Linked DNA regions of Rattus norvegicus. The protein of the gene in region 1 purifies or fractionates together with the protein of each later gene. This does not show direct contact. Links are inferred from orthologs where the notes say so. Each region holds a gene or a part of one and is shown in the gene's direction. Other genes may lie near its edges.

Region 1 (3,652 bases):
AGATGTCAGCGTTCCCCCTGCCCCACCCCTCCTGTGATTGCAGCTGGGCACCCCACCAGCAACCTCACTTCTAAGGCTCTGGTCCATGCTGACAGCCTCTCCTCCAGCACACTGCACTAGCAGGAGCTGCCTTAGAACTGTGTGGTGCTGCCTCTCTCATTCCTTGGCAGCAATTTCTTAAAGCTTTGTTTTTCTGAACCTAAAATAAATTACCTTTTAAAATTAAATGTTTATTTGTATATTATGAGTAACCACTTTAAAACTGAATTGTACCTATATTCTTTGCTTAAATAGAATAGATTTTGTCCTCTTGTAAAATACTGGATTTTTTGTAGCCATTGGCAAGCACTTTTCTTTGCACAATCTGAGTACACCTACTGCTATTCTCTTCCCAATCATTGAAACATGTTACTGTCTCAGGCTTAGACACTAAGAATTGAACCAGTGTTGATTGGACCAGTGTATTTTGCCTAATACTGGACTGATCCCTAGTGTGTATCAGCTGACTAGACTATGTGGTATTAAATCATGTCCAGTGCCTAACAGCCATTTAAGCTTCTCAACCTACACCATCTGGCTACATTTAGTAAACCAAACTACTCCAGAGATTGCCTATAGTCCATTATGTAACTGTTTTGTTTGGAGTGTTGGGTGAAATTACTCTTATTACTGGTACATTGTACACAATCAGGCTGCCATTGATGGCAGCCATTAAAAATGTAAGAATGCCTTTTCTGATATTGTAGAACATTTAAATATAAAAGATTTGGGAAATATGTCATCATCGTATCTTCGGTGAGGAACTTTATTATCTTTAATTGGCCTATAATCATATTCCTTTAATAAGAATTAGGTGGCGGATGCCTCCATCTGCTTATACTTAAATATGAACATGTGACGCCAGCCAACAAGATCCACTTAAAGCTTTCTTTCCCCAAGTCTGCTGGAGAATTTGACAGATAGCCATACAATTTTTATAATTAGAATAATGTTTAATAAGCATATTTGGATTGCTGCTAATGGCAGCCAAGTGTGTCTCCATATGATTCAGGGGAGACACGCAGAGTCAAAAACGCACGGCGTCAGTCCTTTCCCGTTCATGCCTGCAGATGACAGACTGAAGGAATCCATCCCAACTTGTGAGCCTTCAGAAGACCTCAGAGATTGTGAATGGTTTGTCTGACCTGAGAACTTGGAACAGCAATGCCAAAAATGTTGCTAGGGTGGCCATCCTATTTGATGGGCTCTTTCCCACCCAGGCCTTGATGTATATATGGGTGGTAAAGAGCTTTAATTGGGGAGTATGCTAGTTTCCACCGCCCAAGATCAGCCTGCCATATTTTCTTTTGAAATGCTACCCTCATGTTTACTGGTAAGATTCTTTTTTCCTTTTTAGGTCAAGTGCCGCTTAGGTTTTAGAGCAGTAGGCTTTGTTTTGTTTTTAACATGCAGTCAGACTCCTCTTTGAACCTTAATGTCCCTGTGTCTCCTCTCAGGGTCCCTGTGTCTCCTCTCAGGCTGCTCTTGGACAGTGTGCTCACTTTTCTCCTCTTGCCCACGTCCCATGTCCCAGAGCAGTCTGACTTGCTGCCTCTCTCTCCCCAGTACATTTAAAGGATATTTCTTTCACTGAATAGCTTTGGAACTGCAGCAGTAATAGGAGAGAATGAGAAATGGACCTAATATCAGGATTTCGGGGGGTCTGAATCACTGAGTTTGAGACGCCATCCGTAGAACATCCCCTAGTGTTGAAATCCATATAGATAGATGGGAACTGTTTTCTGGACTCCTTTTTATTTTTAATGTCTTGGGGGTTTGCTGGTTGTTAGCTTTAACTTCCTTATCTAACAGAAGATGGAAAATACTGTTCATTTCTGTAACCTTATGGAAAAATTATTGACACTCATTTTACCCAAGTCTCTGTTTGAGCAAAGCTGGACCACACTAGGGACAGTGGTGTGCCTTCATCTCACAGCGTGCACTGCTCTTTTAAAGGCTTTCTGTGAAAAATTGCTCAGCACCCGCTCTGTTCTTTTTGTGCTTCCTTCCCTCACTGAAGCACGGGGTCTGGACCATATTGCTGAGAACATTCTGTCATACTTGGACGCCAGATCACTGTGTGCTGCTGAGCTTGTGTGCAAGGAATGGTACCGCGTGACGTCGGACGGCATGCTGTGGAAGAAGCTCATCGAGAGGATGGTCAGGACAGACTCTCTGTGGCGAGGCCTGGCAGAGCGCAGAGGGTGGTGAGCCCTTCCCTTCCTCTTCCTGCCTCATTCCGGCATCCCCCCCCCCCCCCCCACCTGGCTGCTGAGCATGAGGGAATGTCGGGAGCCAGCAGGGACACTTCCCATCAGCCATAGTCCTTGTCCAATTTTTAGCTAAAAATACAAGCGAATTGCTGTCCATGTACGCAGTAGTTTTCTTCTGACCAGTCGATCATGAGATGACATTTTTCAAAAGAAAAAAGAAAACTGACTGCCCTCCCAGTTAAAACATTCTGCTCTCGGGGCTGGGGATTTAGCTCAGTGGTAGAGCGCTTGCCTAGGAAGCGCAAGGCCCTGGGTTCGGTCCCCAGCTCCGAAAAAAAAAAAGAACCAAAAAAAAACAAAAAAAAAACAAAACATTCTGCTCTCTGGACGAAGTTGGAATTTTGCAGAAAGGCTGAGAGAGAACTTTTAAGGAAGGAAAGAGAGCTTTGAATCAGGTAGAAAGAGCCCACTCCTACTTCCTCCTCTTCTGGGGAAGGTGGAATTGTTGTTCTTCCCAGACTGCAGTCTCCACCTCCATGTCTCACCACCTCTGTAATCAAAAATTAATTTTTATGCCCAAGTAGAAGTAAGCTATCAGAAAGAATGAAAAGTGGAATTTAGTATAAATCATTTGTTTCTTCCTAAAACTTGTATCTTTAGATTTGCTTGCTTGATTATGAATTTCCTAAGGCCTTGTGTAGTCAACGACCTGAAAGACTTCACCAGTAGTGTTCCCTGAGCGCAATGGCACTATTTCATTAAAACTTCTTGAAGATATTTTTCTTTTTAGAATTTTGCCTTAGAGTATATCTCTAGAATGTCACTATAAGAAAGTCAGGTATGAATAATTCATTAAATAAGTTATTAAGTATATTTGATAAAAAAATGACAATAGGCATGTGTGTGCCCAGTGACTGCCTTCAGAACTTATTTATTTATTTATTTATTTATTTATTTATTTATTTATTTTGGTTCCTTTTGGGTCTGGAGTCATACACAACCTCAAACAGTTAAGATTACTAAGGGGAAGCTCCGTTTGGGCCATACGGCCTGCTTTTCCAAGAAGAAGGAAGGCGGCTAGGACATATGTGGCCACCCTCACTCAGCCTGACCCTGTCTCAAAACAAGTGTAAAAACAGCTAAGGGCTACAGGTGCCCTCACTGTGTATAAAGGCTTTGGGTCCAGTCCTGTAAGCAAAAAAAAACAAAAAACAAAAACAAAAAACAAATCCTCACTTAGCTGGGTGGACATGGTAATCCCAGCAAGTAAGGAAACTGAAGCAGGAAATATATATATATATATTATATACACATACATACACATATACATGAGAGAGAGAGAGAGAGAGAGAGAGAGAGAGAGAAATAGATCACCCTTCCTTCAAATTGGCTTGGCTCTC
Region 2 (3,652 bases), on another chromosome or scaffold:
TAGCGTGAAGCCCCGGAGAACCTCGCTTTCTAGACGGGGAAGCATCGACTCCCCCAAGTCATACATATTCAAAGATTCTTTCCAGTTCGACCTGAAGCCAATGGGACGGAGAACAAGTTCCAGCTCTGATATACCAAAGTCCCCATTCACCCCGACCGAGAAGTCAAAGCAGGTGTTCCTCCTGTCTGTCCCTTCCCTGGACTGTCTGCCTATCACGAGAAGTAACTCCATGCCAACCACGGGATATTCAGCAGTCCCTGCAAACATAATTCCTCCCCCTCCCCCTCTGAGAGGAAGCCAGTCATTTGATGATAAAATTGGCACCTTCTATGATGATGTCTTTGTGTCGGGACCCAACCCATCCATGCCCCCAAGTGGACATCACCGTCCCCTGGTCAGACAGGCGGCAGTGGAAGACTCGACGGCCAGTGAGAATCACGTTCTGGGCTCTGGGCAGTCTGTGGATGAGAGCTGTCAAGGGTGCCCAGCCTCCAGTGAGCCTGGGCCAGTGCAGAGCAAAGCAGCGAACACCCCTCACCTAGAGAAGAAGAAGTCACATCAAGGACGAGGGACCATGTTTGAGTGTGAAACCTGTCGAAACAGGTACCGGAAACTGGAGAATTTCGAGAATCATAAGAAATTTTACTGTTCAGAGTTACATGGGCCCAAAACGAAGGTGGCTGCGAGAGAGCCTGAGCACGGCCTGGCACCTGGTGGGGTGCAACCCCAGGTTCTCCACTACAGAGTTGCCGCTCCCACGGCTGTGTGGGAGCAGACACCCCAGATAAGAAAGAGGAGGAAAATGAAAAGCGTAGGCGATGATGAGGACCTGCAGCCTCGGGAGAGCGGGCGGTCCCCAGAAAGCGCAGAAGCCCTCCAGCTGCAGCCAGTTCCAGGGTCTGCTCCCAGTCCGTCCAAACAAGCCCCTGCCACAGCAGGTGACCAGGCACACAGGGGCGTCCAGCTGCAGAGCTCGCCTGTTCAGCTTGTGGCCAGGGTCCCTGAACAGGCCTTGCCCCTGAAGCAATGCCCCGTGGTTGAACAGCAGCTGAATTCCGCAACTCAGGACAGGATCGAGGTGCAGAGACAAGCGGGTGGCATCTCAGTCATCCAGCACACCAACTCCCTGAGCAGGCCCAGTTCATTCGACAAGCTGGAGCCCTTGGAAGGAGGCACCGCCTTCTCTTTACAGGAATTAGGCAGAGCTGGGATGCCTGGGGCCCTGAAAGTGATAGGGATGCCCCCAGAGGAAGGTCACCCACCTCGGGATGCCACACATCAGATAGCACTGTCACGGGAAAGTGCTAGAAAGATTCCCAGTGAGCGCTTTGTGTTAGGGCAGCCCTTGAGACTTGTCCGGCAGCACAACATCCAGGTCCCAGAAATTCTGGTCACTGAAGAGCCAGACCGGGACCTAGAAGCCCAGAGTCATGACGAAGAAAAGTCAGAGAAATTTACTTGGCCTCAGCGCAGTGAGACCTTATCAAAGCTGCCGACAGAGAAGCTGCCACCCAAAAAGAAAAGGCTCCGGCTGGCTGAGATAGAGCACTCCTCAACCGAGTCAAGCTTCGAGTCCACACTCTCCCGGAGTCTCAGCAGAGAAAGCAGCTTGTCCCATGCATCCAGCTTCTCCGCCTCCCTAGATGTAGAAGACATTTCTAAAGTAGAGCTGTCCCCCAAAACTGACTTTCCAAGCAAAGCTGAGTTTCTTTTTATTCCGCTGGGTTCAAACACACTGAGTGTCCCTGGGAGTCACAGGGAGATGAGGCGGGCGGCATCCGAGCAGATCAGTTGCGTGCCCACACTGATGGAGGTCTCTGATTTCCGAAGTAAGTCATTCGACTGCGGGAGCATTGCTCCTTCCCATGTGGTGCCAGCACTTGTTGAGCCTCAGCCCTCCAACTCCCCATCTGGTGTTGGGGGCACTGGGCATGTGCCCCTTCTAGAAAGGAGGCGAGGTCCCCTGACCCGGCAGATATCTTTGAACATAGCTTCGGATAGCCCCCTGTCTCCTGGCAGTGTATCAGCTCTCCAGACTATTGTTCTCCCTGGTGTGAATGCAATCCCACTGCAGGCCCTGAGGCCTCCTGATGTGGCTTCTGCTGACCTTCCTGCACACACTGTGCCCTCCCAGGCCCTGGCTAAGGATTTACAGGCAGAAATGTCAAGTTGTAGCTCTACTGACACCTTTCCTCCTCAACAACTTTTTGGTGCCCATTTATTAAATAAAACCAACATGCCCCTTAGTCACCAAAACACACCACTGCCTCTGCCAGTGTCTGTGCAGGGTGGCAAGCCAGGTGCACCTCCCCCTGCAGGTACGTCTTCTACAGGCGACGGTAGCTTTGCTCCCAAGTACCAGCTTCAGTGTCAAGCATTCACGTCAGGCCGGGGTTGCTCTTCTAGTCCTTTGCATTCTTTACCTAATCCAGTTCTTCCGGATCAAACTGCAGCTGATCCCTGCACAGCCTCAGTAGCACTGTCAGCCAAAGCAGTCGATCCTGTGTCTAAATCCTACCCTCTGCCATCGCTGGAGCTTGGGCTACCGAGTGATCAGGTGCAGAAGCGATTGCCTTCCTTTGTGCTGCCTGTGCTCCAGCCGAGGGATGTCCCAGTGTACTGTCTCTCTACTGTCACATCTCTGCCGCAGATCTTAGTGACCCACGATCTGTCCAACACGCCAATTTGCCAAACTAATCAAAGTATAGTGCCAGTCAGTGAAGAACAAAATCCCATGCCAAAATCACAGAACTATCTCCAGAATGCATTGCCAACACCGGAGAAGGATCTTGCGTGCAAAACTGTTCTCTCAGAGATGGGCCAAAACGCTCCAGTTTCAGAATCCTCGGCGACAGTTCAGAAAGTGTCTGCTGGTAGACTCTCCCCACAACAAGAATCCTCAGCCTCGAGTAAAAGGATGCTTTCCCCAGCAAACAGTTTAGACATTGCCATGGAAAAGCATCAGAAACGAGCTAAAGATGAGAACGGAGCTGTTTGTAGCACAAACATTAGACCATTGGAGCTGCCAAGCTCAAGAGCTAATGAGGGCCATAAGCAGAAGAAGCCAGTGCTGGTACGGCAGCTCTGCACTGTGGAACCCCTGGAAGGAACGGCACTAGAGCAGGACCCTGGTTCTGCCTCTGGAAAGAGCAGCAGGAATGCTGACTCAACTCAGGTTTTATCAACCGATAGTCTGTCATCCAGACACTCTATGTTTGCAGTCCCAGACCATGTCAGTGAATTCCAGGAGTTTAAAAATACCAAGTTGTCCACGTCACTGACTCCTACAGTGGGAAGTTCACACATCCCATTGGAAAGTGCCTGTGTTTTGCCTTTGAAATCTAGAGACGACAACCAGGAAAAGGGGTCATCAGGGGTTCAAAATGAAGAGAACAAAGTCATCCAAGGGCAAAGGCAGCCTCCAATCCCTGGTCTCTCAGTGTTGAGCAGCTCAGACACTCAGCAGCCATCTTTCCCCAGCCTCAAGACTGCAACTAGCTTTACATGGTGTTACCTGCTGAGACAGAAGTCATTGCCCTTGGCTCAGAGTGACCAGAAAACGTCAGCCTATGCGGGGTGGACAGTGAGCCCCAGTAACCCCAATCCACTCGGTTTGCCCACAAAAGTTGCTCTTTCTCTTCTGAATTCTAAA

The links.
Region 2: the proteins of Btrc (region 1) and Hivep1 purify together in Homo sapiens (affinity purification with mass spectrometry; 5 studies listed by BioGRID and IntAct, counting the BioPlex papers as one, with this or other methods). This does not show direct contact. The link is inferred for Rattus norvegicus from reciprocal best matches to the Homo sapiens genes BTRC and HIVEP1.

What each region holds. Positions count from the first base shown.
Region 1 is NC_086019.1:254,298,735-254,302,386, forward strand, and holds part of Btrc (F-box/WD repeat-containing protein 1A), read left to right. Parts: intron 1-2,059; coding exon 2,060-2,246; intron 2,247-3,652. UniProt on the Homo sapiens protein: Substrate recognition component of a SCF (SKP1-CUL1-F-box protein) E3 ubiquitin-protein ligase complex which mediates the ubiquitination and subsequent proteasomal degradation of target proteins. Recognizes and binds to phosphorylated target proteins.
Region 2 is NC_086035.1:22,819,563-22,823,214, reverse strand, and holds part of Hivep1 (zinc finger protein 40), read left to right. Parts: coding exon 1-3,652.